Linked DNA regions of Styela clava. The protein of the gene in region 1 interacts with the protein of each later gene in a pairwise test. Links are inferred from orthologs where the notes say so. Each region holds a gene or a part of one and is shown on either strand. Other genes may lie near its edges.

The links.
Region 2: the proteins of MYCBP-associated protein-like (region 1) and c-Myc-binding protein-like interact in binary tests that used the Homo sapiens proteins (3 or more experiments, as listed by UniProt). The link is inferred for Styela clava from reciprocal best matches to the Homo sapiens genes MYCBPAP and MYCBP.

The regions. Positions count from the first base shown.
Region 1 is NC_135263.1:16,710,438-16,722,815, reverse strand, and holds the start of MYCBP-associated protein-like, read right to left. Parts: upstream 5,081-12,378; 5' UTR 5,053-5,080; coding exon 4,920-5,052; intron 3,563-4,919; coding exon 3,438-3,562; intron 2,751-3,437; coding exon 2,563-2,750; intron 2,140-2,562; coding exon 2,046-2,139; intron 1-2,045. UniProt on the Homo sapiens protein: May play a role in spermatogenesis. May be involved in synaptic processes.
Region 2 is NC_135251.1:13,588,111-13,599,860, forward strand, and holds c-Myc-binding protein-like, read left to right. Parts: upstream 1-9,928; 5' UTR 9,929-10,034; coding exon 10,035-10,340; 3' UTR 10,341-10,889; downstream 10,890-11,750. Other genes in the region: 3-keto-steroid reductase/17-beta-hydroxysteroid dehydrogenase 7-like, read left to right, coding at 1,988-2,031, 4,787-4,999, 5,371-5,451, 5,756-5,870, 6,020-6,141, 7,005-7,185, 7,689-7,928. UniProt on the Homo sapiens protein: May control the transcriptional activity of MYC. Stimulates the activation of E box-dependent transcription by MYC.

The DNA.
Region 1 (12,378 bases):
ATATTAGATTCAACATATAACTGCTGTAAACGAAAAAACTTTTTGTCTTCTGCCATCATCGACCAGAACTATCTTGTGGTTTTAGTTTTAAAGCTGTACCTGTTTTAGTTTAAATTTTAGGCGGAGCCTTAAAATGACCTTATGCTTGGCTGTTAGAAGCGATCTTTTAAAACAAATTTCACAAAACGTTAAAATGAGGCATAATGCATAAGCTACTTGGTTCTGCTGCGGAGATATGTGTACAAACCTATTTATATATTCAATTTTAAAAGATGTTTGTTTATATTATACATTGCAAAGAAGAGTATAACTAAAATGCAAATATCCAGGAATCGTTTTTACCATACAGAGTGCCCAAAATAACAAAATCCTTGATTTCATAATTACTTCTTAAAAAAGGAAGAAAATTTAATTAACATCTTAACTTTGATTGTACTCTCGAGTTTTAGTTATCTAGACCAGGGGTTCTCAAACTTTTTGTGTTGCGGAGCCCTTGAAAAAGTTGACTATTATTCACGAGCCCCAAAATAAATGTTAAAATTGTTATTTTCCGAATAATATTCCTGAGTGATTTAAAAGTACTTTACTTAATTAATTTAAATGCTAACCTCCTTTAATAGGGATATTACAAGTCATAAATGAATCTAAATGTCAAAGATAAATTATATATACCAAAGCTGTAAATTTGACACTTGACAAACATATTAATAAATTAGGGGTCGAATCTTTAGACATTTTTGAAAGAATTAAAAGGCCGCTAATACCGTAGGCGATTGCATTTTGTTACAAGTGCCGAATATTTTCGTCAGCATGGCGGTGTTTATTCTCCCTAAATCGAAAATTTCCTTCGGCATATACATGTATTGTTCCACAATGACGACGAGTCGACGAGTATTGCTTTTTTGTTCTCGTGGGGAATTATGAGTTCAGTGTGAAAAAACATGTTACCATATTATAGTCGTCGGAGACGAAATGCTAAAAATAGTAAAGAGATGAATCCGCAACTCAAATTTCTTGATTGAAAAGCGGCATTCTAAAATATTAAAATTAAAACTTAAAATGGAAGATAACACTATACGTTTTGTTTCAGCAGACTCACGACAGATTTAAAACGCTTTTATAGACATTTTAAATCACAAAATTTGGTTTATGTTAGGTTTTCTTTGGTTATTCATCGTATTAACTGCGAAACGGGACCACAGTCAATTGTGCGTGCGATGTAGCCTACCAAGATCGCAAAAATACGACTGCAATTTATTTATAGATGGCAGTTTATCGCGTATTTTATGTTATTTCAGAATAGTATTCTTTCATTTTAGTAATCCTAATAGTTATCTCGAATCAAACGTGAGTAACTATGAGCCCAATTGAATCATTACGACAAGACACTTTAAATGCTCGCATCGATCATGGATTGAATATTTTACGCAACAAAAATCTCGTTTTCCGTTTTTTTTTAATCGCAAATAATGTTGCATGGAAATTTCCGATTCCAATTTTGATATCCTTCCGTCTTAAGAAACCTGGCTACGCTCATGCTTATAAATAATGTCATTTTTTAATTCCGTCTCTTTGCCATATTTCGAGGCTATATTGTTGTCAAATTTTATCAAAGCTGTTATTGCTTCTTTTAACAGTTACAAAATTAGCAAATCCAGTATTTTGAAAAGTAATCGAATAGCTCGTGAAGCCCCTGGGTTTCTCTAACGGAGCCCTGGGGCTCTGGGAGCACTTTGAGAATCTATGATCTAGGACACTTTGCACAAAAGCTATGATATCTGTAGAATATGTTACAAATCACCTAGGTTCTGTTTTTGGGACACCTACGACCAAAATATGATATAATATGATGAATAAATGTATATATGATAATGCTCAAAGCAAGTTCAATTCCTCGTCATTCAGGTAAAAATCAAAAAAACACCCAATCCATGTAGCTTATATAATTTTGTTTAGAAAGTAAACAGTTATTTCACAAAAGACCGGCTTGTACCAGACTACCAGACTATATGATATGAAAATATGTTTATAAAATATAACCTTACCCTGATGAAATTTAGCTTAACGGCTTCAGATACAAAATCTTCAACTGATCCAAGCAAACTATGTGATATTATTTCACCTGTCTGGTGATTGTACCTTACAAAATAAATTAAAAATGTTCAAAAGTCATTACTTATGGACTATGGTAGCTCACAAAAGCACAGGGATCAACTTTTATTCGTACAATTTGTAATATACCATTAAATTATTGATAACTAGTATATTGAAAAAGATTTAAATTCTTCTAACATTTAAAATATCTATAAAGGCACACTTCAACATAGCAACATAGGCTTTTAAGTCATGTTTTATTATCTCATATACATATGCTGAATACATTACTTTCAAAATTTCAAATTTACCACTAGTCGTTAGCTGTGGTGTTTGTTACCCATTTGCTGGGGTCGTTTAGTATGGAAACAAAAACAAAACAAGAACCTTTCTGCCCATTATCACAGCATTCTGAAAACATGTTCGCACGAACCGTCTGAATCCCATAACTGATACTAGTTAACATACCTTGGTCCTGACGGTCCAGAATAATCAATAGGTTTGAGTTCAGCATCAGCAGGAGCAGTACGTGCAACAATTACTTTTTTCTGTTGTTTTTCTTGCTCAGATTGAGGTTTTTGTTTTTTAACCTTATATCTACTTGTTTCTATCGGTTTTGTACTTCTCTCTGATGTGATTTCATGTGATTTCCTAACCTGTACAAGCAAAAGATAAATGTCTGAATATATATCAGCATTTTGTAGGTAATTCCATTTTTGGTGCAATATATTTATCCCAATAAAATGACAATCTATTACGAGCTCGCTGAAACGTATATAGTAACAATCTCAGACTGAGTATGCAGACTTCTTGTGTGGTTACTAGTCCTGATCAAGATAGTCAGACAGTTAGATTTATTGCGATGCCTGGACATAGTTGGTGGGGTAAGCTATAACGTCAAAATGGGCGTCTGGTTAATTAATGGGTATACTTAATGTTGCACATCTTGGAATCAAATCCCATGGCCACCACCTCATCCAGGGTGTATTAAATTGAGTAGGCTGAATGCCGAACTGGAGAGATTTCAGTCCTTCCAAAAACAGTAGCTTTGTACCCATCGTTGGTTGCTTTGTTCAGGGCGAAAAAGCCATGAATAAGTGTTATATAAAAAACAAACTATAGAATGACCTGAACATGCTAAAATTGCAAAAAGCCTGACAACTTTCTTGCACATGATCCCTCATGGATTTGAATCTGTCCCCACTATGAAGAGTAATTAGCAATGTGATTGTGAGGATGTTACAAGGTTTAGCATGATTACTAGATTCACAAAGCAAGATACTTTATATAGATATTCTTGTATAATAAAAAAAAACTGGGAAACAAAAACACTAGGAACAAACTTTCTGCAGATCTTCATCTCTGATTGATAACTTCTGAATGTCATCACTATTCAAGATGTCACTTCCTGATTTTCTGGGTGATATTGCTTGATCTGGTGAACCAGCCCCTTTCTTTTTTCCCTTTTCTATAAAACAAAGAAAAAATTAAGACATTGATGAGATCAGTAGCTATTTAAATTTGTTTTCTAACTATGGTATTGAAGATCCCATCTTAGAATACCATTTAGGTATTTTATATTTCAAATAATTCAGAAGTCATTTGTTACACAAAAAAAAAATTACTAAATTCTAGCAAAAAAGTTATGAAAAGCATTTATTTTATACTTCTTAAATGTTATTATGCTTTGGACAGCTTGGGCCTTCTTTAGACCTAAATAGTTTACTAATAAGAATATGCAAACTAATTTACAAAGTTTAATATTATTTGATGACACTTATTACAGAATTATCAACTTCAAGTAAAGAGTCTTTGAAGAAGTAGCTTGGATACATTTTGAATAGAATATGAATATACCATTGCAAGTTAGAGATTTTAATTGTTCAAAACTTTAAAATAAAAATTCTATATTTGTTTTGCTATTGGTTATGCAATGGTTAAACCACATCTAATGAAACAAATAAAAGCAATGTTTTAATGGTTAAATAACAAACTTCAAGAAACTATAAATGGTGTCAGGGCCAGTTCTAGGAAAAAGTAGCCACTCAGTTACACAAAAATAATAAATATGTTGAGGAATTTTTTTTTTTTTTGGTAAACTGGAACCTGACTTTTACTGAAATTTCCATATATTATAAACGTTCATAGACGTATCACTTATGACACATAGCTTTCTATAGTGTACTTATATCCAAGTTTGATTGCTAAACAATAGAAAACTTGCTATCTAGTCTGCCAACATAGACAGTTAACTCAAAAGAATTTCAACAAAATTTAAAATGAAATGTAAAGCACCATATGAATTCTGGATACAAGTGTAACAAAAATTTTGATATTTTTCTAAAAAAATTATTATTAAATCCTAACTGCATGAGAAATTATCCAAAATAGGTTGAAAAATTCAAGCAATGTCATATGCACTAACTCAGTACTTATATTAGAGAAAAACATTTAGCTGCAAAGTATTCATAAAATTCTGTTACAATTTCAATTGTGTTACGAAAGTCAGTTCTTAACATATATCTTCACCAGGTTTGTTTTATTTTAATCAGTGTTTATATATGGTTTTAACTCGAACTAACGTTATATGGTATGAGTAAATTCAATCTATATATATCAGTCATAAATTAGTCGGAAATGTTGGTGTTAATATTTAACATTGATTATCTCCAAGTTTACATACATTGATGATTCGATTAATTGGAACACAAAACCTGAAATCTCACAAAACTAGCTAGTTTGACACTTTCCAAAACTTAAAAAAAAGGTTAATGCAACTTGTTCAAAACTCATCAATATCTCACAGCAAGAGCACACGCTGATACCAGTATCTAATTCTCCATCTTCAACTTCATCACCAGGTTGTTGTGCTTGATTTGATGAAACACTTAAACCCCCTGTATTTTTTCGCTCAATCCTATCTTTTGATATAGCGGAATGAGCAGCTTGCTTCCACATTTTACAGTATAATTACTTTAAGACTTTCACACAATATTAAACATAACAAAAGTTCGGGATCTCATTTCTGGATATCAGTCCATGTTCAGTATGGGAATAGTTTACCAGTTATCGATTTCAAATTCATGGACTTAGGGGGGCAGTCTAGAAATCCTCTTTCCAATAATTATCCCTACAGAGGAATCAGCAATGTTAAGGCAAGTGTCTTAATAACGCTTAGTACGAGTCAACGATCGCGCAAAATTTTATATATATATATATACATTCGTGCAGACTCATTCTATTTCAGTATTTCCCTTTAGAACAGGGTGTGCAACAGGCTGACAGGAGGCTCGCTGGCCAGAATTTGAACTGTTAAGCGTTTTAGTGTGGTACTTGTCAGATATAAAATACTAATGTGGTACTTTTAGGTCCAATATCTGCATAAGTGAACATCATTTTAAGTTTGTAACATCCCCAAATTCCGGTCATGTGAGTTTTTCTCACGTATTTTTATTTTTTTGTAGACTAGTATGGTGTAGTTTGAAAAAATATCTTTGAACTTCTTGAATCTTTTCTTGACTTTTTTCACCTCACCAGACTGCCAGATCCAGCGATGGTGGTGTAATAGTGTATTAAGTAAGTTAGAAATCTAAATTATTTTACGTCTGGAAACTGACCTGCAGCAGTTCCATTATGCTGACCTTTCAAGCTGTTGAAACTTCGACTTGATACTTTATTACCTGCTTGTCGGCTATTAACTGATTCTTTGATGTTTGAAGTTAACACCATATTTTAAACCAGTTGTAATTTTTCAATAAAAGACGAATATACGGAAGGAAACACTTCGAAGGAAAAGTTATCGTTTCTACAATTCTACATTGACCCACTGTTGGCGTCGACGTTGCCTTGGTATCACAGACCCCACAAGAGGCAGTACCGTGCAATTTGCTCGTAGTTTTTCTAGGTCCTAGGCCAGGGTGGTCCATGGTTGTCGACCTCCCGGGCCACACTATCATTTTTGTAATAGTCGCGGGCCAAAATAGTGCCAAGAATATGTAAACAGTGCAATACAAAACAAAAGACCTTTATTGTCAAATACATTGATCATTATTTGACATTTTTTTAGGCTAAAGCATGCAAAAACTACAAAAACAAAATCACTAAAACGTGCAAAAATATTACTATATCTACATTTAGTGTAAGATTTCAAACTTTTCATAACGGAGAAAGTGTCACAAAGAGAAACTGCAGTATTAAATTGTCACCGACACAACTTGCGGACATATCAAGCAAGCATTGTGGTATTTTCCCTCACACCCAGTCAAAAATATGTTTGAATTGGTCAGCTTTATTTTCAAACTCATGTTTACAAATTAACTTACAAGTAACTGCAGATTGATTGATTACCTAATTTTACCAAATTTAAGATACAGGAGGGTAATTGCCAAATTTTCTGACATATAGGCAGCATTTTAATACTGTTTAGGCTGGTTACAAAAAACCACCCAGCGGGAATAGTATTGTTCGGACATAACATTAATATTTGGTTATTAGGCGCTGATAGATCTCCATTCGGTTTTCAGTTTTCTATGAAACCTATTTTGTTAGCATATATTCTCGACCAAAAAGATGGAAAGCCAGATAAAAATTTAGACTGCCAAGCACATCATTCAACTTTGCTAGTTGCCTCAGCTAGCCAAAATACTAGTCAATTCAGTGAAATTAGTGATGTAACAATATGTCAAAAGATTTTTCTGGTTATTTTTATGACGAAACAACACCAAATGCGAATTTTTGTTTACCCATGCGCAAATGCGACGCGGGCCACAGGTATTGAAGCGACGGGCCACATGTGGCCCGCGGGCTTGGGTTTGGACCACCCTGGCCTAGGCTCTCTCGACTACTATCTGTTTGATCATATTTACGGTTTGATACGATGTCTGAATCTTCCGCAAGCTTGGGTGACGTCAAATTAAAGCATACTCTCCTGATAAATTTGGAGAGGCTTAACACATTTTGATGATAATATACGTAATAGAATTTAAAGTGTATATAAAGCTGTACCCGCTTAACTTACCTCTGCATTAGTTGTGAAAATGCGGTCACATCCCCATTACTGATTCCGCGGATGATAAGTAGTGTTGTGTATACTCGAGTCATCATTAACTTGTCTCAATTCAGACTCTAGCCCAATGGTTTTTAACCTGGGTTCGATCGAACCCCTGGGGTTTGGTGGAGCTGTTCCAGGGGTTCGACGGAGGTCGTCTGGAACAGTTTTATATTATTGGACTTTTGTATTACCTCGTCATACTAATTATGCAAAAATAATAATAATACAATTGCCGAAATTTGTTTTTCCCTTTCAATGCCGTTTGAGAAACGAATGGTTTGAAGTACCAACGTTTTTGAATTTTGAGGCATATTATCATCTTTTGGATTTTCAAAGTTGCTATTTTTATCTGTTTCCCTGCCGCCGACACTATTATGACAAAACAATGGCTATTTCCACACGGGGTATTGATATCTAAGGTAAACCATAGTGTTCGTTTTCTAAAACCTTGCACGAAATTAGCTGCCCTCTTATAAAGTTAGGATTGGGCTCCTAATTTCAACCGTTGAGTGCGATGGGATTCGGCGGGAGCATGCCGAATAGCGCGGGGGTTTGGCAGGCTCGAAAAGCTCTAGTCTTTTCTATCATATGAATAAAAAGACTCGACTCGAACGGCTGGACAAAAAGACAGAGAAAATGGACTTCAGTCGGCTATATAAATATCAATTTCCCTGAAATACGATTCAGATAAATATTGTTTTGAAATAATCTGAAACTCGCAAGATTATGTAATCAATAGTTCAAAATAGTCCGTGTCGATACCTAGGTGAATGTTGTCAATACTTGAATAAATCCTAGTTTTGACTTTCAAAATAACTTTGATTTTAAGAAAGATGACAGGGTAAATATGGGAAATATTTTCCATTTCATCGTTGTTTATGAAATCCACTATTACTCGAACCCGACTTAACTTGTGACTCAAGACTCAAACTCTTAAATTAGCTGGACCTCGGATTTGACTCGAGACTCGGGAAAACTTGTTATGTTGAACAATGAATAATTTTATTTCAAAATTCCTATTCAATTTTTACCCGAGATGAAGTTACAAGCATAAGCGTATCCCCTTTAATGATGTCATGGTGAATACAAATGGCAAATTCTGTCATAGATAAGTATATCAACTGACGTATAGTTTCCTATATATATAGGTAGTTGTGTAGACGTGCTAATGGTTAATTTACACCAAGCAAGAACGAGTCCTTTAATCTTTCACTTTAAAATTTTAATAACTTGTAGTAAAGTTGATTTCTAATTCGAAATATTTCTAATTTTGTTGCCAATGAAAACTTCATTTTGAATCGCCTGTGCATTGTATTTTTATCTTAATTTGAAACATGGTTACTAATGCGTGGGATAATAGATTTTATGCGGTATTAAATTACATCACTAATCCAAATTCAAAGGTAAAAGTTTCTATTATACGAGAATTGAAATTTTCGTTTTCGTTTTCAGTAGTTGCGACCTTGGATCAAAGTCAAGTTGCAAGTTAAAACGAACAGAAGTTAACAATACTTTCCTTTCCCAGTGCGATGATTTTTGTTTCATATTGTCCTTTAAGCTTTTTCTAATTAAATTTATTTATCTCTTAAAAGCAAAAGCCACCTTTGATGAGATGCCATTCCTCATTATCACCGAGGGTAATGTCCGCGCAATAACATAGGGGGAAATTTCACTGTTACTAATAAAATATTTTGCTATATTCCATGAAGCTGCGAACAACTGGGATAAGATTAAAATGAATTTACTCACGGAAAGTTAAAATTTATTTGTGGCCCAAGCGCGGATCGAATCTCATTATCATTTAATACGTTGTAAAAGTAACAAGATCGAACAAATGTTAAGTTCTGGAAGGTACGAGGGAAATCTGTGTTGATGTTCCGCAGAAGTCCTTGAAATGTCTCCCTATCTTACGTTTCACGAGTGTACAGCTGTTTCGTACTCTGAGTTAGGAGTTCTACGTTCTTCGTCAGAACAGCTGTATGCTGATATAATCGGTCGCGTACAAGAGTGATTCGGCCAATCGTACGTAGTATTGTTGCCTATTGCCTCAGTGTCTATAGATTGTGGAATATAAAAGCCCGTAGGGATTTCAATTATCAACCGTCACCATCGGGATTTTGACATATTTTTATTTTGGAAGCTTGCATCATTGGAGAAACAGTCAACAGTCGGTAATAGCCTCATTGGTAATAACTGTGTGATAACAAATAGAGCTATGAAGATATCTGGCGAAGATGCACAATATTTCGCTTAGAAAGATTCGAGTCAGAAGTTTTGAAACGGTGCAAGAAAACTTGAAGCTATTCTTCGCCTCGCTCATTCGTTTTTCTTTATATATCGGCAATAAATGTTTGTGCTATTTCCAGTAAGAGGCCCCTAAAAATCGGTCGTTAGGGTAATCTCTTTATGTTTAAAATATTGATCTTCCAAGCGTTCAAGATTCACGTTATTTCAGAGTTCGTTTATTGTGATGTATACAGTTAATTTACAGTTTATACGAGAGTTTACTTTACATTACCATAATAATTAGAATGTGAGAGGCAGTTTTTATGAGCTTAACGCATAATTAAATAGTTGAGCGGAATAAATTTAATTGTTCGGAACTGTTTGATGAAAATACTCAGCTTCCTATTATGGTCGTTGAGTTACAAATTAACAGTGTTTTTTCAATATGAAACCATGGAAAATCAATTTATTAGTGCAGTATGACCCTATAGATAGGGCTATGTATGAATAGGCGAGGCCCATTCTTGCTTCCGTCTTAGATAACATGAAGAACGCTATCGATGTACATCGCGGCCTACTTTGGACGTTTGAAATCTCTGTGAACTAATATGAACTCTTTTCTGTCAATGTTTTTCCTAATTAAATTCTACCCCACAGAGACTTGTGAATTCCGCTTAATTAAATCGCATTTGTTTTACGTTCATTAATCACAATCGGTAGTTGGTATTGCTCGCTGTTGGGGTAATTGTTTAGTAATGCATTTCTGATCACTGTTATCCATCAGCTCGAATTGACAATTAATAGTACAAGTATGTCGTTAATATTCTTTTTTAAATTATTTGTTTTACTGCCAGTAATTTGTGAAAACCAAATAACATAATATTCTGCAGGCAGCCCGATCAGATTTGAATGGAGCTCATTTCTTTAATATGTAATGTTGCAAATTCTTAGCATGACAATTTTTCCAAATAAATATATAATATATATATATACGGTGACCGTACATTTGAACCCACGTACATTTGAACCCATGTGTATATCCGCGGGTTCAATCTATATGCGGATGCGAAAACCCATGGGTTAGTGTTAGTATGGGTTCAAATATTCGTAAAACAAAAACAAAAAATTCCATAGGTGCAATAGTATGCAGGTGCAATTGTCGTGAATTCAAATGTATGTGGGTTCAAATGTAATGGAACCATATATACACTATTCATTCTGAAACCAAAAAAAAAGCTATATACAGACCGAACTAATTTTGAATGATCTCGAATGTTCAATCTATGTTTGCATGAAAAGAGACGGATTTAAATAAAATTTGATAAGTTTTTTCTCCGCCGCACATAGCAAAATTGTCTGCAATGGCAAGCAATTTTTGATGTCCCGTTGTTCATGCTATTTTTTTTTTGTATATTATTCATTTTTATTCATTTTTTGCTCAGTGTATAACATAATTTGTATTTTTACACGTGTACGTCTCGAAATATTAGTTTTGATACGCTACTCATCAGCAGGTATTTTAGTTGACTTGTCTTCGTTATTACACTCGCATCCGGTTTGAAACATTATGAGAAAGATCAGTGTATAAACAAGGTCCTATATCTTGAAACATAATAATACTGAAATTATATTTACTATACGTTCTTTCGCAAAGTTTCTATGGTCTTTAGGGATTTCTCAGCACATGCGCCGCGCTCACGCCTTCGCTAAATGCGTCCGTAGTGGGATATGATGACGCAAATAACATCGCAGAATTAATCCCTGATAAGATTCCGCCGGTAGAATACATTATACTCTGGAATTTAAAACTCTACGATTACAAATTGTACATTCTGAAGGTGCGAAAAAACACCACATCCTATTAAAAGCACCAATGACGTCGTGTAGATTTTACCGGAGAGCGATCCGGCTGGCCCAGCTTTTTTTCTTCGATTGATTATATTGCAATTGAACAGTTTCAGCCATTGTGATTTGTCAGCTAACGCTCTTGAGTGGAAGTGGAAACAATTGTTCAGTGCTAAAACTAGTCCAATGATTATTTTGAAGTGGCGAAAACACTGAGAATTTTGTAATGTACTATAGCGTGATTCTATCTTAAATTCTGTAATTAATTGAATATAAAATCGACGATAATGTTGATCACATTTTCCGATTACTGGATAAAAAAGTGTGCCCATAATGTACATAAAATACTTATTTCCAATTGGCTTATTGATGAATAACGTGATATATGTCGAGTCTATACAATCATTTATTATTGAATTACTTTTGGAATATGATTTCTAAGTCAAAGAAAAGAATTTTATAACTACAAAAGTACATATGTTTAATAGGTTTGGACAAATTTGAATCTGTGGATTCTAAATAGATTTTACAATCACGCTCTGCTTAATTCTCATATTGACGATAGTAGATTGAAGTAATCTTCTTTTAGAAAGATATTTCTTAAACAACATAGAAAGACTACAGATGTTGAAATACTATGGAAAAGCAAAATAGCATCCACTTAACCCATTCACATTTATGATTTCTATTTATAAATGCAGATTCTAATTTGCCCCATTGAATATCAATTTTAATCGACGTATATTAATCGTTTGTCGTGGGTATATTACAAACTTGACTTAATCTACCCTTTACAAATGAGAGAGATTACTTAGTTTAATTTAATTCTCATCATTAAATGAATTTAAATTTTACTTGTTTTAATATTAGGAAATACATTATTTTTCCGATTTTGAAGGATTGGTCTACAAATATGACTTCTAGAAATGTATGATCTGCTTAATGTATGATGTAAGGCTCGTTAATGAATATTAAGTGATTATTTCTTCAAGGCTCAGAAATAAACTGAAAACGATAATCTAATTTGTAGCTGTCTGCCTGAATGAAGGAGTATCTTTTTCTAGAACAGTCTACGCATTATGATCTTATATGGCAATGACCACATCCCAATATTTCTACGTAAGTGAACATGGAGATATCCGCCGATGCAGAACCGCCCGTTT
Region 2 (11,750 bases), on another chromosome or scaffold:
GTCCTCGAATAATTTCGATCAGATACCACGCTTCTCCGTGGTAGTATATATAATAAATATATATTATTATATATCCTCGTGTGTTCCAACTGTTGTGTATAGAGAAAGTTATTTGTGATTTAATTACTATTATCGAATGTTTATATCTAAAGTGTCCCAAATCAACGCATACAGTGTTAAATATTGTTACATCCATTCCTTTCCACCAAATAACTTTTTTCATCAATCCTTGAACCAATATGTTGTATCTCTAATACATTTTACTGCAAAACCTGAATGGTCTGGACCAGGGTCGTCCAACCTTTTTGGCCGAAGGGCCACATGTAATTTACTAATAATTGCGCGGGTCACTTAACATGGTAGTTATGTTCTAGTTTTGCTACGGGCTAATGAAATAACAAACAATGCCCTCACACCGAAGTTTCACAATTATCAGAACAATAAAACTGTTGTTTCCCAATATAGGGCGCCATCGATGGTTATTCCCGAAAGTTTCGTCAAAGACAAGCCAAGACGCTTAATCATTTTTATAACAGCTTCTAACAAACCAACGTCTCTAGCCGTACCATTAACAGGGAAAATGGCTGCGAGCTCTTCGGTAATTTCAAATCATCATTAACTCCCCGAAAAAAGATCGCCAAGTCGCCAACTGAGCAGTAAACTTGATGCCAGTGCTTTCGTTAAGCGCTTTTCCCGCCTTTGCAATTACAATTTCTGCTATAGAGTTCCCAATCTCTTCAACACGACGAGTTATGGTCCGTCTTGACAGGCCATTTTTGCAAACACCTTTTTTATTTTCGGGCGTAAAAACATTGGCAACCCGAACAATACATAACATCAACAAATTCTCAATCTGGAAATGGCTTCGATTATTTTGCGATAACATCATATAGAGTAGTAAAAAACCAAGTGTGTGTGTAGGCGACTATGGCATCTTTATGTATCGATTATGTATCCCAGTTGATTTCGATTCAAAATGGCACTCATAGCTCGTTTGAAAGGGCTGGCAGAGCGCATTTAAGGAAAATGAACAAATCGTTTGTATCACATCTTTGTATACTACATTAATCAAAAAATAATTTCACTTTATTTTTTTTTTAATTCTGAAAAAAATACAGCGCGGGCCACTCGAAATGCTTTCGCGGGCCACATATGACCCGCGGGCCACGAGTTGGACGACCCTGGTCTGGACTAATGAATTGTACTGTGAAAATAAATTTTTATCTCATTCGGTTAGTCTCATTTATGCTCCTAATTTTATTTTTCTATTCATTCTATGTATACTGTAATAAAATTTACCCCATGTACGCACATTGTTAATCCATGCCCACTTACATTCAATACTATTAAAAAAAATGGCAAATTGTCAAAGTATTTGGTATCCTAGTTAACCCATTTCACTTCAAGCATTTCTATAGATACTATGCAATATATAACAAACTTTCAACTAAATATACTACAAAACAGTATTTTTCAACACGAAATTTCTTGTTTTTAAAAATGAGAAAGTCTTGTAAATAGTGTATATAATGAATAAACGAGAGGTATTGTATTTCCTTACACCGTACCTGATGATTTATTTTATTACTAATAATATAATTGTATGGGTGGCAACAGACTCTGCTGACCCCAAAAGGTCGTATCGTTGTCTTATACCAAAGCATCTGTTTTTTTTATTATTTATATATTCATGCATGTATTGTGTGTTTCATGGTTTGACCGTAAATATATGTTTGACAAATAAAAATAAACTCTCTCTCTCAACCGTAAATATATACTACTATCTATTTGCTATCATATATATATTGTATGTGTTTTCTGGTTTGACGAAACAAAAAGTTCTCTCTCTCTCTACTACGGTTCAACTTGGTAGTGGTACTTTCCCGAATATGACGCCCGCCAGATGTTTCGTTGGAGACGTGACGCCACAAATGCAAAAGGCTGAACTGAGATACCGGTAGGTCGTGAAGTAGTAGAGAGCAGGGAAATGGCGTTGCCAACTAAAGTTCTTGTAATAACTGGAGCAACAAGGTAACAGTTTTATTCTCTACCATTTTTGCAAGAAATTTGTTTACTGTTATATGGCATGACCGCACGCGGATTTTGCGATATGGGTTTTTAATTTACTTCTTGTATGATTGCACCTTTTCTGTCATTTTAACTGGATATCAGTGTGTTGGCTAAACGCCTCGTCTATCATGGATTTATTATTATCTAGATCAGGGCTTTTGAGCTTTTTAATACCATATATTAATTTTCTACGGCCCTTGTTCGAGTTAATACTGCTAAACAGCTCGAAATATGCATTTTTGATGTTTAATTGACACAGCTAGACTAATTCTCAACTTTTAGTAGGCCTACTCAATTACAAAAACAAGCACATATTTATTCAGATTAACGCTACTCAATTATTCAGTGTAATAGGTGCGAATACTTTTTGCTGTATAGCAAGTCCAGCCTCGGCTCAATGTTTGTTTATGCAGGCCTAAATAATGAATTACGATTTCTGGCCACCGATGGCATGGTCCTTATCCGGAATTGTTCACTCTTATTGATCAAACTCAGCATAAGACAGCGGTTTGTGTGGCGCCGAAGTATCATGGTAAAAAATCATGGCGCATCTACACGAAAAATATGCTGCCTGATAATAAAACACAATTTTGTCATCGTTAATATGTACTTATCTTATCTCTGCCTGGTTTTTCTTTAAAATGCTAAAAAAATCACTGGTGTTCGGCAAATCAATAAACGGCAGCATGCGAAATTGCAGCATGTAGGGTTTACCTCTTCTGTTACGTAACAATATACCCGACATAACAGAGCGTACACAACATAGAACAGTAAAATGAATTTGATTCGTGTACACATCATTCGCAACAATGAGAAACAATAAAACATTTGGAATAAATAAAATATGTAATATATTTCGAGGCGTACTTAGCAAATCGCCTTCGGGAACCGCTAGCTTAATAATTATTAAAGCCGGCATTGTTATGCAAGCACACGCAAATCGGGTCTTACGATCAGAATATACATTGTTATGCAAGCGCGATGATTCTACTGTTTTTTCCCCGAAAATAAAACCAAGCCTGAATTTTGGAAATTATATTAATATAAGCGCTCCCCTTTAAAAAGACTTAGTCTATAGGGCAATTTTTTTGACCTCATCCCGTGGAAGTGCGTCGTTTTAATTTTGCTAGGATGTCGCAAAATTTTATGATTTGTTAACCTTTCAAGCAACCCATATCTTCTACTTTTACAGAAAAAAGGGAAGATTCTATCGATCTTACCTGTGATGGTGTTACAATTTTAATTCTGAAAATTCGGTTTTCTGTAAATTAAGATTATTTTTCTTGGTTCAAAAAGCGTTGCGAGCTCCTATCCCCTTTGCGATTTCGTTTTCATATAGGGAAAACTTTTCTACCAAGGCCCATTAAATATGATTTCACTGACTGTCGTTATGTTTTGTTTGTTCCTTTATATGAAAATCCTTGCAGAAAAAGTCTTCTATTGAAAGGTATCAATACATATTTTCACAGGTAGTTGTAACTTGAGCATATTTTTGGAGGGCGTCACAATTCAATTAAGTTCGAGAACCACTGAGTCCTAGTCGATAGCAAGAAATTTCCACTCAAGAAATTTCTACTCTTTCTACTTTTTAAATCTGTCTAGAATAACTCGTTTATATCGTAGATATTTTGTATAATAAAAATTATTATCGTTATTCTCTGCATTCCCTCAAAATCAGCCCTAGTGTTATTTTCGAAATAAAATTGAAGACACTGAAATCTTATTTACACAGTATGATGATGTGTTCATTAGGAATCGTGAAATTTTTGTTTCACATCATTTTTAATAATTGTATTTCGAATCAAGATTCTGGAAAAGTACAATAGATATAGTACTTTGTATAAAATTGGTGCTCTTTTTGCGGCCCATAATATTGGGGCCCCTAGTTTAGGAAGCCCTGATCTAAATCCATTTGAATGGTACGAAAGTAATCAGACTGTAGTTTAAAGTTAGCCATAACTGCATAAATTAGCTGTTTACCAATGAAGTAATGAATTTTCCCCTGTGTTCTGTTTCCATATAATATTTTTTATTACTGGCTTAAATATGTTAGTAATCCTATTAATATGCATATAATCTTTTGTCTTTCTGGTGATACATTTTTACCACATTTTTCGAGCCCATCATCCACTGATGTAGAGTTTATATATGTATATATATTTTTTTTTTTCCTCTCTTTTCTTACATCGAATGATTGTATATATTATTATTCCCATCATCTAAAGCATATAGAACTTTTATTGTGTAAATGAGTTCCCAATAAAACATGTCCTCCCCCAATAGTTTCCTGAGATTACATCGAATTTTTAATTTTAATTTAAGTATTAATCAACAGACCAAATTTTCTAATAGTCATCTTCAATGTGAACATTAATCACTTCAGCAAATATGGTGGGAGTTGACCTCGACCTCATGCTCGTATCGCTCCCTCCCGCCAATACCAAAGCAATTTTATTTGTGTTATGTATTTTTGTCTTATTACTAACTGTTTGTTTTTGATGGACAAAATAATAAATCTCTCTCTCTCTCCCTATAATAGTATTGCGTTATGTTATACAGTTATACACACGATATTTTATCATTTCCGATATACTATTTTGCAACAAGCTGCTAATAATTTATATCTTTTACATCTTAATTTGAAACAATTTTCATCGTGTTATTTATAATTATATCAGTTTTAAAATTGCTTACACGTTGATGAATTTTTTTTCAGTGGGATTGGTCTCAGCTTCCTTCATAGAATTCTTCTCGAAGTAAGACTTCAATTCCTCATTCGTGTTTGTATTTTGTGTCGAAATATGAGAAAGGGAGAATATGTTCGTTCTACTTTATTGGCATCGCATAAATCTGCTGAAATCGAACTTGTCAACATGGATACTGGAGATTTAAAATCTGTTTTAGAAGGAGTGAATATCATAAAAGAAAAGTATGCATTATGTCATATCATATGTATAATTTGATCTAGAATAGAAAATCTGGAAATACTAGACCCATGGTTTTTATGAATTTTAAACTCCAAATGGTCCTTACACTGAATGGTGAATAGATTCAATAGTACATATTTACATCAACATTTGACATTACAAAGCATTTCTATGCAAAATACTCCAAATTCAAAACATTATTTATTAAACCTTTTTTTCTGAATTGCTTTTCAACTACCTTATTGTCAGGCTTGCTTTTTAATACTCTGTATTGTGAGTTTTACTCTAGATACATGCTATAGGACGATTCATTAATTCTTCACTGCCTATTTCCACATGTTTAAAACTGATTTGATTCAATTTCCTATTTTAGATATAAGAAAATTGACTTTTTGTATCTGAATGCAGGGATTTTACCTGTGAAGAAACTTCATATTTCTGGTCTTTTCAGCCGGTGAGTTCAGCACAGTGAAGCCAATTTAAGTCTTATTAAACCTATCTGTAATAAGTAACAAATTATAGGGTGAAATATTTGTGGTTCCAAAATTAAGTGGGTACCCTTTTTTCATACAAATGTATCGGCATTGCAAGTGCAAATGTATGTGCAGGGAAGTTTGGAGGACTCCATTTTTATTTATACTGCAATTATCATAAATATATTGCTTTTTTCTGTCATGCCAAGTACTTTATTATTATCGATTTGTTGGTATTTTTGTTTACATGTAACAAGTGTAAACAATTTATCATTATTGATATAGGAATGTTCTAGCTCGGTTAAAGACTGGAGAGAATATCATTGAATCTGCCAATCCATTGAATGAATCTGGAATACCACTAGTTTTTGCAACTAACGTTTTGGGACATTTTGTTCTGGTGAGAAAAGTTCTTTATCAACAAAAATATGAGTTCGATCTGTTCGAAACTTGTTAACAATGGAACACTGTTTTTTAATTGGTTTTGATTTATTTTTTTGATATATCTCTATCCTTGATTAACTCTTTTGCATTATTTCTTTGTTTCAGGTTCAGGAATTATTGCCTCTTCTTAGATCTGATGGGCAAGAGAAATCTAAGATTGTGTGGACAGCTTCTAACAATGCTGTAAAAAGCAGTTTTAACATGGATGACTTTATGTGCAATCATGGGTAAAATTTTTTTTTTTTCAGGAACTCATTTAGAGCAGTGCTGTTCAACCTTTTTGTTATTGCGGAACCCCTGATATCGTTTTTCGTTTTTTATGGAACCCCAAATAACAAAAATAAAAATAAAACACGAAATACTCGTAAAACGAAATATTTGTAATTCGAATATTTCTACTTCAAGAACGAAACAGAAAGAAGGTAACAAGCATGAAATTCAATGACTATGTTGTTCTTGCATTTCCTTTCCAATTTTCTTGAATCGTGGCTCCACGGCGCTCAAAGCAATTATCATACTCATGGTTACACTCTTTAAAAACTTCTTTTTTGTTTTTAATAATTGTTAAAGCAGAAAATACTGATTTACACAAATAGGTATTGGGAAATTGACACAGAAGTTTTATTGCTTTTTTTGCAATGGCTCCTACCCTCTTTGTGAAGAAAAATCCAAAAATCTTCCTTCCCATGATTTTCGAAGGTTTCCTCCGAATTAATATCATTACAGATATCTATGAGTCCTTCTTGCTGTTGCGCACTTAGAAATTCATCCAAACACGGAAAAGAATAATAATCATTTTTTGCAACTTTACTGGCCCAGCAGTCAATTTTTCCTTTACGCGGAACCCCAAGGTTCCACGGAACCCCTGTTGAAGAGCACTGATTTAGAGTGTTTTTATTGGTACAATATTAATCTGATAAGGGACTGTATTTCAATTTTCAAAAATTGAATTTTCATTTTACTATACACAGAAATGGCTCGTCTCTACCGAGAAAAGGAGATGATATGCTTTCAACCACCTAATTCCACTCCACTTTCTTTATACATTGCCTTTGTTTTTCGTTAGCGTAGAATCATTTTCTTTATTCAGGAACATGTCATATGGCAGTTCAAAATATATTATTAATGCGTTGAGCATTGCAATGAATCAACGATACAACAGAGAAGGGATTTATAGCCACCTCGCCGAACCTGGTCTTTGCATCACTGCGATGTCAGAAAATATATTACCATTATGGTTATGGAAGATTGTGGAATTTCTCTTTATGCTTGTAAGTGTGAAAGTAAAGGATGTTTTCCAGAAAATTATTTATTTTATCTATTTATTTTTATAAGAAAAACTTGACTTTAATAGTCCTGGAGGCATTTAAAAAATCTGAATATTTTAGATGATGTAGACTAGTCTACTCACTTATTTTTGGCTATTTTCTTCTCTGGTGATCTGTGAATAAACATGTTGATTTCATTCCGATATAAACGTGAATTGTTAGGGTTTATTATAAATACAAGAATTACTTTTTACCAAACTGTTCAGTGTTCACGCTTTGTTCGAGTCTATGACTTGCCAAAGTGATCATGTGTTGTGCACCCCTGGTCCAATAGAACCATAAAACTATCACTATTATTCTCAAACGGGAATTGATTCACTTCGATCTCAAATTTACATGGTAAATTCAAATGGGACTGGTTATTTTTCATCATTTTGGCCATGTTGGACACCTGGAAAGTCACAAATAATCGTTTTTACCAGTAATAATATTTGTTTACCTTATAGTTTCGTCTTGTTGCTCACCATCTGACACTTTCTACTTATAATGGATCTGAATCATTAATCTGGTTGTTCAAACAAGATCCACGAAATTTGAAAAAAAATTACCAATATGAGAGTGCTGTGAACATATTTAATCAGCGATATGTTTCAAATGTTGAGATTGATATTTCTCCTACTGAGGCAGAAACCATATTTCAAAAAATGGTGACAACAACTGAAGAAATCAGAGCTGAAGCAGGGTGATAACATATGCATTGTTGACGAAAGTTTCAAAATGAGAATTGATGAGATTATTATTTTTATGTGCAATTGATTAATCTAGAACAAAAAAGGTAGTACATTTTATTATTTCAGACTAAAATGGAAAATTTTATACTAAACGAGTGACTTTGATGTATAAATTGCCAAATGTATATGTTACCGTGAAAAAATGTTGATATGTAGAAAACTGTGTTTTATCGAATCTTGTATATTATTATATAGCGTTATCACCGGTGGGATTGAAAATTTTAAGAACCGGTTATCTTTTATATCGTACTTACTGACGACAGATTCCCTCTTTTCAGAAAATATATGTATGTCACTATAACCTGGCATCAACATGGCACCTTTACTTACCTAAATCTAATATATAACTTGAAACTGAATGTTATGTTTTATGTAATTAGTTATTATTCTTATTTATGTTCAATACTGTTCATTGTGTTAGTTCTATTGTGGTCTTTGTATTCCATCATTATCCAATAAAACAAATGAAATTAATGTATTTTTACGGCGAACTCTGCATATTTTTTCTATTGCAAAACGAGATTTGAGGGTGTAGGAATTTGGTTCAATAAATAGAAAAGAATCATTTCAAGAATGGCCTGAAGTCGGACGTTCTGCATGCAGTGCTTGTTACTAAAAGTTGCAGCTAAAGCCAGTGAAAGGTGCGCCATCAGCCATCATATGTATTGCATATTTTCTGACTAGGCTTTGTTGCGCTTCTGATTTTAGCGTCAGACAAGACAAGATCATACTTTTTGAACAATTTCCAATCAAACGTTTATTTGAATGCCAATACATAGCAACAAGTTACCAAAACTTCAACTGCAGTTTGAACATTGGCCACATGAGTAGTACATGGGAAATGACCGTCTCAATATTTATTTCGTTTAACTATATTATTTTATTTCCGCTAAAAAAAAATTCACTCGAAAAAATTTATTACTCGAACTCCAAATAACTATTTGTCATTTAACCCTTTCCGTGCGGTGGGCACGTCTACGTACCCACGACAAAACTCGCTAGTTTGCGGCGGGTACGTTGATGTACTCCACTGTTTTATTTAGCAATCGGTCGCAAACTGTTGGTCTAGTTTTTCCGGGTTTTAGTTTATTGATAAGAAGTCTTCTTCGAGATTAACATAAGCGACGGTAAATCTCGCTTTCGTTTACCATGGAAATTTTATTTGCGGCGGAACGAGGGAGTGTTTTTGAAATTTATGCAAATTTCGGTGTGTTTTGGGTGGTAATAGAAGACATATTATCCCTTCCATCTACCAAAGTATTTTGAGTTAGATAACGAAATTGCTACAGCAATATCATGCTATTGTTTGCCAACCAAGAAGCGGTAACAGTAAAGGATTTAGCGAATATTTCTATTTTTTATCACGGTTTGAAGTTTCAACACCCAAGAAAAAAAAATGCCTTTTTTCTATCCGGTTTGTGACTCAGACCACCCCTTTTGGAAAAAAAAAATTTTTCAATCGCCAATTGCAAGCTCTTTAAATAAGCTTTTCAACGAGCCGTCAGTGGGCAGCAGAGGATCATTACTTTTTCGTTAGTCGATCGATTAGTTGTGGGGGTACAAATGCATAAAGTCGGCGTAGCAAATACGATTATTTAATAAAAGATAAAAATCGCATGGAAAGGGTTAAGAACAGACAAAACCCTTGGTCGAGTTTCCCTATTTTTTTCCAAAGATACAAAATTCTAGAATTTATAACCGCTTTATAATAATAAGTATTTTTACTGTGAACTTATTTTAATTGGTGCGAACATGGTGGGAGCTGATCCTGATGACCGTATGGTCGTATCGCTCCCTCCAGTCTATACCGAAGAAACGTTATTCCTATTACTTTATATTTATTATAATTGTATTTGTTATTTCTGGTTGACAAATAATAAATCTCTCTCTCTCTCTCTCATATCTTTTCATCTGACAACCTAAGAAATAACCTCTGACATCATCGCGCCAACAATAGTCGTCGTCGTCTTGGCGATAATCTCTTCCGTTGTTTTCGTTTCACGTCGCTTTTCCTACGCGATTTCTTCGTTACTGGACTGTGTATTCAATCGGAGCCGCAATATGACGACTTATCGAGCTGCAGATTCGAAAAGAGAAGAATTCCGGAAATATCTTGAACAGTCAGGCGTGGTAGATGCCCTAACAAAGGTTTTGGTAAATCTTTATGAGGAGCCGGAAAAACCTTCACAGGCACTGGAATTTCTCCGCCAACATCTCGGAGCAGCAGGACCTGAAACTGCTGATGTGGAGTCTCTACGATTAGAGGTTAGCGAACTCAGGGGAAAAGTATCACAACTCACAGATGAAAATGCAGAACTTAAAAGTAGACTTGAAAAATATGAGCCTTCAGAAGAGGCAACAGAATAAAATATTGGTCACTTCCACTTATGAAAGTGCGGATTTTTATCTAGGGCCCATATCTCAATTAACAAGGAAATGCTGTTATTTTGTCAGTAATGATTTGGCAATGTTTTTAGCGTCTAGTTTACTTCAATATTCACCATTTTAGAGTCTATTTTTTAAAGTCATAGCAACATTGTTCAGAAACGTCAGTCTCATCATACAGTTATAGGCTACCGTATAGCTTGACGAAGTTGTTGCTGCCTTCAATTTTTCAGTTGAAGACAGATTTTTAATTGTACTGAGCAGACCTGTTTTTATGTATGTAAACTGTATCTTTTTTTAAACCAAGAGTGCTCTATTCATAAACGCAAGTATCTCAATATTTCTAAGATCTATGAATTTTTGCTCATCACCTACTCTTTCATGATAAAATTATCTATAAACCTTGTCAGTAATTCTCCAGAATAATCTGTGATCCAATGTTTTGCGTGTATACAGTGTACAATCTTTATTATTTGTTTTTATACTATATTTGGAGTTTGAAAATAAAATTTGTAAATACATTTTTAAAAAGTCTTCTTTTATTCATCAGGAGTATAGCGAAAAAAATGGTCTCATGACGCTATTCCATCAAAAGATTTACATAAAACACTTCTAATAGTTTTTAGTTTCATAATAACTACATCAAGTTACTTCAGCCATGCCTTACAGATTACAAATAAACAGGTTTTGGCAATTGCTTTCTTCTTTTTGTTTACTGTTATCTAAATGAATATTCGTGCTTAATTAACTGATTTCAAGTTTTGTCAAAATACATGTTCGAGAATCGATCCAATGTTAGTTTGTCAGTGTCCGAATTACCACCTCGACCAAAATAGCTGCAAGTTACCACGTTAAAAGTAACTGAGCTTTATTTTTTCTGATCTTTGTTGTTTTTATGTGCTGATCCGTGAATTTTAATATGATAAATATCAGTGGTTGGTTGTACAGGAACTTGCTCAGAGCAGAGGTTAATGAGCACCACATAAAAAAGATTTAACACGGCCCTTCTCAGAGCAAAGAGCATGAATAAGCGCTACATGAAAAAAAATTACCTCAAGCTACGGATATGCTTTGCTGAGTATCTCATATAGGTTGCGAGCAACAGCAATAAAACTCCCTTCTCAAAGCAAATTACCGCAACTTCCTGAAGTAAACGCAGGACCCATAACTCAATAACAAGATCCATATTGTACTGTTCCATTTTATTTTTTTTAACAATTTGGTGCACATTGTTTTGCATGTGTGATCAGTGGATGGAAACAGTTCAATTGTAAATATAAAAATTTCATAAAAAAATTGGCTAAATAATACTGAAGCTGCTGTTTTGACATGCATAAAGCGAAAAAGGTATGTCGACGCAAATTGTAGATAATTATTTTCACACTCCAATTG